Linked DNA regions of Astyanax mexicanus. Each later gene encodes a partner of the first gene's protein in a complex. Links are inferred from orthologs where the notes say so. Each region holds a gene or a part of one and is shown on either strand. Other genes may lie near its edges.

Region 1 (7,666 bases):
TTCCAAAATTGTAATTTATTGTAACACTTTCACTTCATTGTTTAGTGTACATTTTTCCCATCTTAGACAATTCTGGTTGCTGAATATCCGACGCATCCTTTTTCTATTGTCTTTACAAATTGTAATATGCAGAGCACAGAAGACGAGGTGAGCAGGAAGACAAAGTTGGAACAACATTTTAATGCAATGATTACACCTCAAAGAGTGAAAGTGTTTAATAAACTTATTAATTTAAATATATAGGAAACACACTTAAAAAAAATGATGGTCTTTTGTTTACTTTTCAACATGAATGTCACATGCTCAGGACCCCAGCAGTCACCTGTAATATGAAATTGCACATTTCAGTAAAGGTGTCTGTACATGACAAGCAATTTATTTACAAAAATTTATGGATTTTTGAGCACATTGTGTAAAGAACCAAATTAAGTTCATCCATGAACATCAAATAAAGTGTTTGGTTCCTCACCTTTTGGAAATGAAGATCGTTGGCAAGGTGACGCCGAGGCCTGGAGCAGGTAAGAGTTCCAGTAAGGCACATCATGCTGCAGACAGCCAACAGCACAACGCTCACCAGCATCAGATGATATCTAGCTAGTGCTTTCTCTTCCTAGGAAGGGAGATGCAGCAGAAAGGTTAGTACATTGTATGAAAAGACACCATTTCCAGCTGCGCACTGATCAAGGAACTGCTACAAGATAGTGGACAATTAAAGACTGGATCAAAGAGAAAAATACTATGATATACGATGTTGGTGTAAAGGGCAAGGTATGTAAAACAAAACATGATTATCCCATGTGTGAACCCAAAAACATGGGTTGATGGGAAAGACAATCTAGCAGATTCCTAGGATTCCTTGATGATCAGGTTCTACATTCTGAAAGCAGGTAAAGTGGCAACTATGTTGACATTTGTCTGAACAGATTATGCTAATAAATTGACGTGTGAGTGCACAAAATTTTTTCATGCTTATTGTTGCACATGTAGAACTGTCACATTAGGATTAATGCATGCATTTCAGTCTAGCTATTTAGATAGTGGGGCATTAATGCTTACTAGCTATTTACCCGAAAAGCCTATGTTCATACTGCTGGTATGAGGGAGTTCTGAAAATGTCTGTCCAACACTGATAATTGCAAGTGATCATACGGAATTTGCATGTTTAGGCGTCACAAACCTATCTGCATAGGTTGCTTTAGTAACAACATGGCCGACAGTAACCTGGCCATGCTGTTGGATCTCCAGACTTTTGTTACTCTGGATTTGATGTGGTTACTGTTGCGTTGCGAGTGATGCAAAAGACATTTTAAAATGGTTTGGGCAGTTAGAACATCCACAGTCTTTAGAAGTTGTCTGAAAAATCCACATTAAATCCAAATGTTCCAAACTGTATTTCTTTTTGCCGCCTTCTTTTTTGCGGTCTAAACTATCAAATAAATCTGAATACAAGGTACATATGCAAAAAGCCAAAACCAGAACAAAAAATGTTTTTCAGTGTCCTTTTCCCACTCACACTACCACACAGACTCACAAAACAGTCTGCATTATGTTAAAAGTAAAGTAAGGTTTATCAACTCACTGTACAATAACAGTAAAAAACAAAAAAAGATTTCCTTCATGCACATGTACATTAAAAAAACACTTGTAACAAGATGGAAAACTATACATTAGTCTCAGAATCTTCCCAAAAATAGCTTATTGTGGAGTGAGTGTCAGGGATCAGAACAAAAGTAAATTTACTACAAAGTAAGTTGCAGGAAACCAGAAACATAAAATTCTCCTCACATCAGCAAAAGTTTTGTACAGGTGGTGGTAGTGGTTTGTGATTGTGTCTAAAAAGATGCATAAAAGTGCTTGTCTGACAAGGAAGAATCTTTTAGTAAGTTTATTTTTTAAACCGATGGACTGAAATTTAAAGTTGACTATTACCCGTTTCTGGGGTGTGCGCGTCCACATGCTATAGTAACTGGGTAATATGCACTTTTTATATAAGAATGTTAGGACCACCTCTACGACTTACCATCTACGAGGTAGATCTAGCTAGCTAGGTAGCTGTCTAATGGAGTAAACAGTGTTTAAGAACTCCAGCAGCACTGCTGTGTCTGTTCAAGACATTAACACAATCACTGTGTCAGTAGTGTTGAGAATAACCTAACAACCCAAATGCCTGCTCTATGATAGGCCTGTGAAGTCCTGGCTATTGACGAATAGGGTAAATAGAAGAGGACAAAGCATGAGAAATCGAAAGGACTACATTCTGTAATTTAAAAACTATAAATCTTCTTATAATCAGTAAGCAGACAAGATGGACAGTAGAAAAAAGAATATGACCATAATATTCAAATTTGTTATGATATTTGATCATATGTTTTTTACCTGAGTAAGTAGCACAGTCAGTTTGGGGTCAGGTGTAAACTTTAAGATGAGGCATGGAGATGCATTATCAGAATCCTGCCTGTATGATTCTGTAGCAAAGACTCTGACAGGAGAAATATCCTTCTCTGGGTTGTAGTTTGCAGGGCATTCTGGAGGTTCCCTGAAAATATACTCAATTCAGCATACAGGTATATAATCTAAAAAAAAAACACACATTTATGAACTTCTATTTGGTAGTTGCTTACGATCTCAGCGGGAGAAGGTGAGCTGGAGCTGAAATTTTCAAGCAGGACATGGAAGGCTTCGTTTCAGCCTCAGTAGGCAATTTTGGATCAAAGGCAGAGTTAGAGACTGTGCTTGATATTTGAGATTGGAGGTGCAAGAACAAAGATATGTTAAATAACTCCTTTCCAGCAACACCTGGGGAGAGAAAAGGTTCAATAAATGAACGCTGGACAGTTTTTGAAAAATCAATCCAATGAATAGCATTCATTTTTATAGACCAAATACAGGAGCACATACACACCCTTTAGGCCTAACTGGCTTCCCAATAATGTAGCACTAATGCTGTTGTGACTTGGATCATTTTCAGTGCACACCAGAGGTACAAGTAGGGACACATGAACAACTCCTCTAGTGTCTTGGGAAGCATTTGAGAAGGTTCCAACTCCATGATCTAATAGCAGAGGGGATTCATCCTCTTGTTTCCCACCCAACAGGTCTGTATTGTTTACATCTGTGCAGTACCTCAGGCTTGCAATTGATCCCAGTATTTGATTCCAGTCCTAAAACAAATATAGAGGACTCTTTTAGGCCTATAGAAACATTTAGTAAAATTAGATAAAATTCTGATTTACAGAAGTGCATTGCAGGGAATAGATGACTAGAAACATGTGGTAATACATGTTTGTTATCCAAAGTAATGGATGATTGATCACCAAGGATCTTTAGACAGACTTATATCATATCAATGTTGTTGCACCAGCATTATTATTAAGCTGTATAAAACTATGAATAGTAAATATTACATTGTGTGACAAACCAGTTCCTTTAGGGTCTAGCCTTCTAGCCTCAGTACTCTGATAAACATATACAAACATAGTTACCAAGCTGATGTCTGGGTTCTTAATGTCATGTTGTTTCGAGTATATCCCAATTCCAATAAAGGCTCCAGCCAGGATCAGCAGGCAGAGAAAAAAAACAACAACAGGCGGATGATGGACAAGTTTAAACCTCAGATTTGTTACAGGCTGCCACTGAGCCATGGTGTGTTACAAAAACCCTCAACACAAGCACCACCTGAAACACATACAAGTAAGAGTATTGGCAGGTATGTAAGCTGACTTTAACTGATTAGAATATTAATCAATGATCTAATCAGACCTTTGAGCTAAAAAAAACCGTACCTTTCATTTGCTTAAGTTAGCTATCCCAGAGGAATACTGGGCAATGAACCTGAGCAGAGTGAACAATACGTTATATTGTTTTAGAGTCAACACTGCACAGATACTACCGATTAGACGTTAAAAGCAATGTTAACTCTTTAAGTACAACAATAGTAAGTACACACTTGACTTCCTCAGGTGGGAGCGAAGAGGGACTTTAGTTCATGTTTCAAAATAAAAGTCCTGCTGGGATTAGAGTGACGTTGCAACAGACATAGTAAATAAGCGAATTTAATGATTTGCAACGTCTTTTCATAGATTAGACTTACTTTTTGATACGTTAAGAACGGCGTGTTTTAAGTGCATGTGGAAACAAAACACGAGTTTACACATTGAAATGCTTTTCACGAAAAGTTATATTTTTCAATGTGGGACGTTAAGTTGACCGTTGAATAAAGAACACTTCTGGGCAACAACTACATTATTTAATAGTAAATACCAGCAGCCATAAAGAACAGCTCTGCAGTTTTTTTTTTAATTTCTGCATTTTCTGCAAATAAATGCTCTAAATGACAATATTTTTATTTGGAATTTATTATTATTTTTTATTCAAACATATACCTATAAATAGCAAACTAATTCAGAAACTGAAGTGGTCTCAGAGCTGTATATCTAGTATTTTATTATTATTATTATTATTATTATTATTATTATTATTATTATTATTATTATTATTATTATTATTATTCTCTGTTTTTAAGGGTAAAGGTTAAAATTATAGATTTACTGAGGCAAACAAAAGTACTTAACAGACGAAGTATACCACCAATTCAGCTCCTTTTTAAAAGAGACTTTTATTTTAACCAGGGTTCAGATACAGATTCACCGTAGTCTCTGAATTCACACATCGTTCCCCTCTGTCCGCGCTGCTGAGGTAATTGTTTTATATAGTCTAAAATATCTCACGCCTGATTAAAGTGTGATTATTGAAGCTAAGTATTTTTGATGTCTGTTATTTAAGTTTATGTAAATAAATCTCCGTTTATACTAAATGTGAGGGGCCGTGGCGGTATTTGCGCTGTATTAGTTAGTTAGTCGGTGGATCCTGTGAGCTCCAGTCTTTCCTCTCAAAATTTTATCTCTTACATTATTTATTTAAAAAGTTACACAGATATTTCCAAACATCTCACTGGGGCGGGTTTATCCATCCAAATGCGTTCTGATTAATAGCAAAACACTGTGCTTAGAGACCCAGTTCCAAATATTAGCAAGCTAACATTGCATTAGCAGGCTAACATTAGCATTTCTTATTCCGAAGGTCCATGCTGCTAGTTAGGTTATCTCTTGATCTATCTAGCTAGGTACAAAGTTAGTTAGGTTAAGGATTTGGTAATAGAGGTGGGTGATATGGCCCTAAAATAACCACGAAATTTCATGGTATTTTTGCGATAGTGATTCTTTTGGTGATGACAAAACACATAGAATTTTAGTTTCAGTATGACCTATTAGAGTGTTAAATAACTAAATGTGAAAGCTCATTTTTGCACTGATATCCCTGCACTACATGCATTTTTGTAACTAGGTTGTTGTTTTTCATGTAAAAATTAACTTGTCAAAATCGAACAGTCACTTAGTGCATGTAAATGATTTTAAACCAATGCCTTTGAGCCAAAAACAATACAAAAATATATTGATTGTGTACATGCAGTGTCTAGTAGCCTGACTCAGTTTTTATCTCCCATGATTTAAATATCAACATGCCATCTAATTTCAAAATAGTGTGTTAAGATGTGCAGCATCTGGCGCTAAACATTATCTGTCACTTCTATGTATTTTTAAAATGTACTTAATGTGCCAGTTGACAAAATACACTGCTTGTCCTAAAAAAGGTCACACAGATTTTTCACCTATAAATTTGATTACAGTGGCATTGTTTCCACAAGCTTATGTAATGTCAAAACATTTAGTTCCAATTATGTGAGTTTACTTCACATTGTGTGTGTGGAAATGCTCTTACTTTCACTAGTGAACATATCCCTGAGTTCTTTGATTTAATTTGGCAATTTTTTTCTAGCCATGTCTTCTGACACTCTGAAAAAGCGCAAGGCAAAAGTAATCCGGAGTGATGGCGGGACTCCTGAAACTAAACGAGGTCGAGGTGAAGGGGATCAGGTCAGTGGTATCTTCCTTCTCTTAATTATGACAATTTTGGAGAGACTGTTCTGTTTTCTCAGAAACTGATTCCATGTACATAGCTGTTATATATTTTTTGTAGGAGTAAGACTTCAGTAGGATTCAGTTTTGCTCTATCCATTTAGCATTTTGACATCCAAGTGTCCAGAGGGTGTACAAGGGTGTTACATGCTTATATTTAACACCCTTAAAGCTGTAGACTTTAGGTTGTATTTAGAGTGAATAGTAAATGTTGGAGATTCTTTGATGCCACACTCATGTGAAATGTATTGGTAGGGAAGATTTCCAGCTGGAGTCTCCAATGTGGACCAGAAGAAGCTGTTGTCAGTGAAGAACAAGGTCCAGCAAAAGTCTCTCTGCTCTAATTTCTATTCTTTAAAAAAAGACTTACATAGCCTATTTCTGGTGCACCCACCTCTTTGTATGTACACACTTGGGTGAGAGCAGGGTATAAAATGCTAAATTTGTGATAGAGTAGGTAAGAGAGAGAGGTTTGTTCAGACATTGCCTGTTTTTGGTATAAAGAGCTAGTAAAGGTGAATATTTGCTACCTCTATGTATTCCTGAGTGCTTGTTTTCATTAGGAGGTGCGTGTGTATAACGAGGAGGTGGAATTGGAAGGCAGAGACCCGGAACAGGATTACGTCCTTTATAAAAGTACCTGTGACTCCTTGGCAAAACTAATGGCTGAAATACAAGAACTTAAAGCCAATGGTGCAAAAGAAGGAGTAAGTTTCTTTCTTTTTTAAAAAAAAAAATAAACCCAGGCTAAGATGAAAGGAGTGTTGATGCTAAACAGCATAACTAAAATGCCCATGTTTGTATATACAGAGTGAGGAGGTGGAGGAGAAGCTCAGACAAGGTTGTGTTCATTTCATTACCCTGAAGAAGCTGAATCGTTTGGCACACATGAGACTGAAGAAAGGACGTGATCAGACGCATGAGGTACTCACAAGAAACACCCTTTTTCGTCTCTTCCTTTTCTAGTTTATTTGCACATAGTCTCTCACCCACCCACTGCTTTTCTTCTGTTTCTTCAGGCGAAGCAGAAAGTGGATGTGCTGCATCTGCAGCTTCAGAATCTTTTGTATGAGGTCATGCATCTTCAGAAAGAAATTGGCAAATGCCTTGAGTTTAAGTAAGTTATTGTCCTTTTAAAAACATACTACTGTATGTTTTTGTACAAACTTGAGCAGCTTGTTCCCAAAAAATCTCATTCATAAAATTATCATAAATTAATCATAATTTACGTAAATTATCAATTAACTGTAAATACTTACCACAGGCAGTCTACCAAAGCGAGTAAAAAGGTGCTCTTGCATTAGAATGTATAATTTAAACATATGCAAACATTGAAAGCTACCAAGGAACTTTCCAAAGAAAAGTTAATATTCAAATAAGCAGGTGGTCCTTTCACTGTTATTTTTGCTTAATGTAGTCAGATATCAATCAACTCGACTTAAGTTTAGGGATGGTAGGATGATCTGTGCTTGTGAAATGTGGTTAAAACATACACGACCAGGATTGAGCACTCAAGTTTTGGTCTTTAAAACTCAAACAGATCTCAGTATGTTATTGTGCACCCAGCACATTTGTAAGTAGAATTGTATTTTAGATGGTTAATGTTTATGTTACAAAGCGTATATGTGTGTATACGTTTAGGTCCCAGCATGAGGAGATAGAATTAGTGAGTGTGGATGATTTTCTTCGGG
Region 2 (7,518 bases), on another chromosome or scaffold:
ATTGGCTGCCGCTTCTCACCGGTGTGTGGATGTAAAAATGTGCTTGTGTGTAAAAAAAAAACAAAACTTGTAATTGTAAAGCGTCCTTGTGTTTCTAGAAAGGCGCTATATAAGTTGAACTTCATTCATTCATACTGTTTCAGCTGCATATATGCTGATTATAAATCAATGTATTTTAGTAGAATGTAAAGATTGCATAAATTTCCTTCGGGATAAATAAAGTATCTATGTATCTATTTATCTATCTATCTATCTATCTATCTATCTATCTATCTATCTATCTCTCTATCTATCTATTAAAGAAGTTTAGTTGGACTGGAGTTTGTCTCTGCACGGATCATCTTCATACTAGACTACATATAGAGTGTTAAGAGTATATACACGCATACTATACTCAGTCTATAATGTGAAAGAGTGCACGGCTCAGTGAAGTGCTGATTCTGTATCACCAGTCTAGCGTTCACAGCTCTGCAGTTCCTGCAGTCTAGGCGTGCCAGTATAGGGCATGTTTAAGTTTGGCTTGCAAAAGTATTCAAACCCCTTGAACTTTTTCATGTTGTCTCGTTACAACCACAAACTTAAATGTATTTTATTGAGATTTTAAATGATGGACCAACACAAAGTGGCACATCATTGTTAAGTGTAAAGAAAATTATTTTTTGCTGTTTTTTTTTTTATTTGAAAAAGTGTGACGTGCAAAAGTATTCACCCTTTATCAATAGTTGCTGTAGTAGAGCCTTGTTTCACTGTAATTATAGCTGCAGGTCTTATGGGGTTTGTATCTACCAGCTTTGATCATCTAGAGACTGAGATTTTTATGAATATTCTCTGATCTAAACAATTAAATCATTCCACTGTAGCTCTGGCTGTATGTTTAGGGTCATCGTCTTGCTGGAAGATCTCAAGTCTTTTACAGCCTCCAACAGCTTTTCTTCTTCCAGGATTGTTCTGTATTTATTTATCTTCATCCATCTTCCATCCATCAACTCTGACCAGCTTCCTAAATCTGTCCCTGCTGAAGAAAAAAGCGTCCCCACAGCATGATGCTGCCACCACCATGTTTCACAGTGGGGATGGTGTGTACAGGTTGATGAGCAGCATTACTTTTCCGCCACACATAGCAATTTACATTTAGGCTAAAAAGTTCAACTTTGGTCTCATCTGACCACAGAACTTTCTTCTTCCACATGTTTGCTGTGTTCCTATATGGTTTTCTTGTGGCTACAAACTGCAAACAGCACTTCTTACGTCTTTCTTTCAACAATGGTTTTCTTCTTGCCACTCTTATATAAATTCCAGATTTGTATAAAAAGGTTGCATGACTTATAGTTGTCCTGTGGACAGATTCTCCTGATCCACCTGATCTGTGGATCTCTGCAGCTCCTCCAGAGTGACCATGGGTAGCTTTACAGGCCAACCTTCTTGGAACATTTTTAAAATGTTTCTAAATGTTCTTATAATGTTCTTTTTTATCTGAGTTGTCTTTAGCTCATCTTGAGTTAAATTGTTCATCACAGTTATGTTGGCATCGCTCTCACATCACTTTACTGTGTGTGTGTGTGTGTGTGTGTGTGTGTCACTCTCTGTTAGCTGACAGTGAACTGGAGTGGAGAAACGAGGACAGGCTCTTGTTTACTCTCGGAAAACAATGTGTGTTTTTTTGCAAAATCTGGCAACCGACAATGAGATGCCACAGGCTTTGTTTTCATTGATGAAGCTGCAGTGTGTTTATTTGTGTTCCCATTCTGTCTCTTTTCTATTTACGTCTCCCTCACACACTCACACACCCACAACATGTGGCCACAAGTAGTTGGACAGCACTCGTTACGAGTCAATTCAGCTTTATTTTTGTACATGCAATGCCAGGATTCATGGAGCTCAGATTGTAAAAGAGTGCAGAGTTCAGGGAGCATGAGATCATCATCTTCACACATGGATTCTCCAACACAGAGTCCACACCTTAACCCTTATTGAGAATCTTTGGGATGTGCTGGAGAAGACTTTCAGTAAATACACCACAACAACCTCACAGCAACACCTAGGCAACCAACATCTTTCCAATGTAACCACACAGCAACATCTTAGCAACCAACATCTTTTTAAAATAACCACACAGCAACACCATAGCACCCAACACCTTTCCAAAGAAACCTTGTAGAAACACATCAGGAACCCCTCAGTTAACACCTGGTACATCACAGCAACCTCACAGAAACAACTTAGCAACCAATTTTCCAAAGTGATTGTGGGGTTAGTGAGTCTGGAGCAGTGGCGATTGCTCTAAGACTGCAAGGGAAGCTCAGCTTCCCCTAAAATGTAAAAAATAAGTGATTAAATATATACTGTTGTGTGTACATGTCACTGATTAAATATGCGCTACACCGCGCTGAACTTAGTTCAGAATCAGCCTCTTATCACTGGTAACGCCGCGGCTTTCCTCTCACTCATTCCCGCAGCTTCACAGCGCTGCTTTAAACAGTGCACACACTTCAATAGCGGAGCAAAGCGCGCGGCCAAACCAGACGAGTCATTGGATAAACGCTGGGCTTTGTCCCGCCCATCGGACGCTCAGCGTCTCTGGGGGTCTATGGGGCAGTGGGCTGGCCTCGGCTTCTGCATGATGATTGGATGACCTGTCTGAAGCGGAGTCTCTTTTTGATTGACAGCGAAATGAGCGAATCAGCGATCTTTTAGTGTAAAATATGTGATGGGAGCATTTCCATTCTGTTCTGAGTCGAACCGGAGACTTTCCTAATCCTTATAGCGGCATTTTCTTAATTAAAAACGACTAGCGACAAATCCAGCTTCTATTTCTGGTGCTTTTCTGTAGCTTCTGTAGACTTCTATCACTCTTTCTGACTTTTATCACTCTTTTCTATCGAAGTTTCCCGTCACAAAGCACTCACAGACGGACACACTTTTCAGCTGTACTGGTTTGATAAAGTGAGCTGGCTGACTGGAAGTGCTGTAACAAATAAAATGTACCGATGGCCATTCCTCTTAATGAAACCATCTCAGGACATAAATGAACAGGGGCCAGTAGTAAGTATTGTGTTATCATTAAAAATAATTTAAATAATTTAAATTAATAAATGGATTATTTAAGGAAATTAAAACTGTCATTTTAACTGTGATTTAACTGATCATTTTATGTTTATTCATGTCATAGCGTCTTTTTTATGTAATTGTTCAATGTAAAGAATGGGTACCTTTTGGTTGTGTAGTGAAAACTTGAAAATAATGCCTTTTGTTTACAAAAAAAAAACATCTCAGGGAGAGTAGAATTTTTGTATAAATAAAACTACATATGTTAAGATTTAGGCCGAAATTGAGCTTCCCCTCCTTGAAAGACCAGCATCCGCCACTGATCTGTAGTGAGTCTGTAGTGAACAGAGCAGATCCGTAGGTCATTAGCAGTAGTGAGTCTGTGGTGAGTCTGTAGTGAACAGAGCAGAGCGATCACTGTACAGAAATCAGATCTGCAGGTCATTAGCAGCTCAGTGTTTAAATGGGTTTTATGGGAAAAGTCATTATTTTACACTTTAATGCAAATCAAGCTCTCAGAATAAGCCATTACTGTAAAGTGGAGAAACCCGAGACTTTTATTACTGTAATCAGAAACATCAGCACCACCACACACATATATTTACTCCCAACCAGAACAATAAATACAAACTGGTTCAGTTTCATAATTTATATTAAATCTACATTATTCTAAATGTAATGTATCTCTACATTAATCTAATATTAATATAATGCTCATTAATTAATTAACTAATTTATTTACACATTTACTTATATATTCAATACTTAATTCACTCACCCATTCATTGATTAAATTAATTATTAATAATTGTATTTGAATAAATCTTTCACTTCCCATTCTTCTGCTTCTTCTTCTTCTTCTTCTTCTTCTTCCTCTTCCTCTTCTACTTCTTTTTTAATGTTATTATTAATCATTTATTCACAGAAATGTAATTCATTACACATTTATTTTTTATTCATTCATTCAATTAAATGAATTATTGTTTTATTTCTTAATTAATCTAGTTTTCCTTTTGTTGTAGTAGTAGGTGTTTTTCTTCATAGTTTGAAAGAGTTTAGTACTATATACATATAATGCAGAACAATATAAAACTATTTAAAATAATTAAAAAATAATTTATGTATTTAAGGTGTGTCAAATTTCTTTACGCTTATTATATATTGTTTTATTTTTTACGTCAAAATATGTTATGAACTCATTACATGTTCTATGCTTCTTATATAAATTAATTCATTTTTTGATAATTGTTTTTTTTTCTAATTTCTGATAGCATTTTTTCTCAGAGCCAGCAATGACTTTTATTTTGTAAAGTGTAATTTTCTCGGCGGGCCGGTGGCGCCCCCTGCTGGTGGAGGTGCGGTTTGCAGGCAGTAAATGACCCGGATGTGTAGCAGTAAGGAGGGCTGTAGCGGTAAAGATGTCTCCCGGCGTGTTTAACCTGCTGGAAGCGCGGGAGAAACTCACGGTAAAAACACGCTTTTAGACTCGTTTTTACTGTAGTTTTAGTGCAGTTTTACTCTATAACAGCTGTAGATGAAAAAGCTGTGCTGTTTGGGCGGGTAGCGCCTTATTAAGGCATGTTTTTTCACTGTGTTTATGGAGAGGCTGTAGCTTTTCTGCGTAACTCTCCGGTCCACCTTAAATACCGTCGCTGTTTCATTGTAGTGCTGAGAGGCGATAGACAGCAGCTAATGCTCAATTTAAGGTAGAACGGGTAATTCAAAGAAACGTTGCTGATTCAGATGTTCAGTGTTTATGGAAACTCAAGCTATTGAACTGAATTACTTATAGAGCTGAGCAATATACCGATTTCTTATCCTATCGTGATTAATTTTCTCATCATTTCGACAATATGCTTTTTTTCAAAGAATATCGTTGATGTTTTTAGGGTTTGTTTAAAAAAATATTGATTAGTTTTTTAAATATAGACGATTTTTAAAAGAATATCAGCAATATGCTTTTTTTTTTAGGAAAATCGGCGATATGCTTTTTTTTAAAGAATATCGATTATGTAGGGTTTTTTTTTTTAGAATATAAATATTTTTTTAAACAAAGACGATTTATTTTAATCAACTAAAGTTATATGCTCTTTTTTTAAAAGAACATCAACGATATAACTTTTTTAAAAAAAATTCTTTTTATTTTAGGAAAATCAGTGATAATGTTTTTTAAGAATATCAATGATTGTTTTTTTTTATAGATATGCCTTTTTTAAGAATATCGACAATATGATAAATAATTAAAGTGCACTGTCCCAACTGAAGCTACATTTCATTACAGACTGTAAAAATATCAATTTAATTGGATAATGTACAGCAAAAATATAATAATCACTGTACTGATTATAAAAGAGCATTTGAATATCTGAATAGCAGAATCTACCACTTTTACTTAATTTAGATTTCGTCTCAAAACATGATTATTGCTGTGTATCATTAAAAACTGTTCTTAAATATTGTGATATATTTTTATCTTTTTGCCCAGCTCTGTCAGCGTGTGAAATACATACTACAGTCATGGCTGAAAGTGTTGGTAACTTTTACCAACCAATTTTACCAGAAAATAAAAAAATGTTTTTGCCAGAAAATGACTGCAGATGCACGTTTATACACGTTTTTCTGCTGTTGTTTTTATAGGTTTGTGCCAACCATTCAGTGCTTTATTTTTTGTTTTACATTCCATATAACTAATTCTGACCTGATTTTTTAGAACAAAATGATTTATGAATTTGGCGTCATTTATCTTTCAACAAAATTTTACCTTAAAACATTAAGTCATGTTTTTACAAAAAAACAAAAAAAAAACATGAATGATCTGTAAACATGAATCAGTTTTGAGTTTAGCCTCATTATTCAGAAAATAGCTTGGGCTCTTATGGGTTGCCATTATTATTAATATGAAAAATGGGTAAATAATCTCAATTATTAAAACAGAAATGAAATAACTCCACTGTTTTTTAAGCAGAAGAAAGTTTACACGCTGTGTTATCCAGGTAAAGGGCTCCTCCCACTGAGTAATAACAGAATGGGTAAAACTGAAATCAGCAGAAATGATATTATGCATGTTATGTATGTGTGTTGTATGATTGACAGGGTGAAAGAAGCGGATGAAGTGGACGTTGAATGGACAAAAAAGTCTAATAATTGTATTATTAATGTATATATGATTAAATATAAGTTGTGTATCTCCTCTGCAGGCGGGTACAGGAAGTGCTCTGGGAGCTCGGAGCTGTAAACCCCTCACCAGCGCCTTCAGTCACCTGTCTGGAACGTGAGTTTCTGATTTAGAGTTTAGATTTCTGCCTGAACCCGAACCGAACTCGGGTCCTCTCGGGTCGGGCTCGAGAAAATGATCTTATAAAGTAATTCTGCATACACTATAAAAAACAACTCTATGGTAATATTGCAATATTTATTTTGCTGTTTACTGTATTTACTTATAATTATGTGTTTATAAAATATATGTTTATATAATGAACTAAATATGCTTTTTTTTCTTTGTTGCATGGCTTTATTTATGGTTTTTCATGTCTGTTTTATGATTAAATAAAAACTGTGAAGTATCTAGTAGAGAACCTTCTCCACAATGAGACACAAGCCCGGAAGAAAAATAAAATAAATGAATATTTTTAACTAAAAATAATAAAAATATTGCTTCGATCAAATCAAGTCAAGAGGTTTTTTATTGTCATTATATCTGAGTACAGGTACACAGTGTAGTGAAATTAAGGGTGTACTCACACTAGGCAATCCGAACCGGGCCCGGGCACGGTTACCTCCCAAAGCACGGTTCGTTTGGCTAGTGTGATCGCTCCGAACCGTGCCCGGGCCCGCTTGGAGAGGTGGGCCCAAGCACGGTTCACTTGGACCCGGGCACGGTACAGATGCAGTGTGAGCGCAAACCGTGCCCGGGCACGGATCAAGATGACGTCAGTGATGCGACGCTACTGTAAACGGAGGACGTTTTATACACAATTCTGCATATAATATTTTTGAAAAGGGTTCTAAAGAGCACCATAATGGTTAGTGTTACCCATAATAAATTAGGACTACTATCTACAAGTCCTAAACAACAAACACATTTTATTATTACTTGAGTTTTATGTTTCGCTCCTTTGGTCACTATTTATGTATATAGCAAGTACGTCTCTTACCTTACTGATGAACGTGAATTGTAGTCCGCGAGTAAAGCTGCAAATTTCTCCCTGGACGTCTGCTGCTTGTGTAAAAACCTTCTTACACGTGCAGCACGATTAGCAGTAAATCGTTGTGTTGCACAATCAATGAATCTCTGGTTCAGTTGCGTATTTGCACGCCCAAAACGACTCCAGATAAACAAAAACAACAGTACAATCCTGAACTCCATTGTTTTGCGCGCGCATACTGTTCTTCAAAACAAAAGTCGCCTGTTGATGACGAAAGCGTGCTCGGGCACGGATCGTTTAGCGCAGTGTGAGTGCAGGACTGCGGGGG

Evidence for each region.
Region 2: the proteins of thoc5 (region 1) and thoc1 are in contact, whole or in part, in a cryo-EM structure (PDB 7APK), measured with the Homo sapiens proteins. The link is inferred for Astyanax mexicanus from reciprocal best matches to the Homo sapiens genes THOC5 and THOC1. Residues at the interface, in NP_001002877.1 of Homo sapiens: Tyr52, Arg113, Lys120, Asp124, His127, Leu128, Gln131, Asn132, Leu134, Tyr135, Glu136, Met138, His139, Thr145, Lys146, Glu149; in NP_005122.2 of Homo sapiens: Glu60, Arg145, Arg146, Leu147, Ser148, Ser150, Gln151, Lys285, Met286, Leu289, Val296, Tyr297, Phe298, Leu302, Ser304, Leu307, Leu310, Gln311, Ser313, Asp314.

What each region holds. Positions count from the first base shown.
Region 1 is NC_064409.1:52,841,108-52,848,773, reverse strand, and holds the start of thoc5 (THO complex subunit 5 homolog), read left to right. Parts: upstream 1-4,590; 5' UTR 4,591-4,695; intron 4,696-5,835; 5' UTR 5,836-5,837; coding exon 5,838-5,933; intron 5,934-6,230; coding exon 6,231-6,293; intron 6,294-6,538; coding exon 6,539-6,682; intron 6,683-6,785; coding exon 6,786-6,899; intron 6,900-6,994; coding exon 6,995-7,092; intron 7,093-7,616; coding exon 7,617-7,666. Other genes in the region: zgc:158398 (transmembrane protein 248), read right to left, coding at 296-322, 470-610, 2,377-2,536, 2,622-2,796, 2,903-3,161, 3,483-3,641. UniProt on the Homo sapiens protein: Component of the THO subcomplex of the TREX complex which is thought to couple mRNA transcription, processing and nuclear export, and which specifically associates with spliced mRNA and not with unspliced pre-mRNA.
Region 2 is NC_064415.1:2,579,897-2,587,414, forward strand, and holds the start of thoc1 (THO complex subunit 1), read left to right. Parts: upstream 1-4,412; 5' UTR 4,413-4,463; coding exon 4,464-4,511; intron 4,512-6,242; coding exon 6,243-6,316; intron 6,317-7,518. UniProt on the Homo sapiens protein: Component of the THO subcomplex of the TREX complex which is thought to couple mRNA transcription, processing and nuclear export, and which specifically associates with spliced mRNA and not with unspliced pre-mRNA.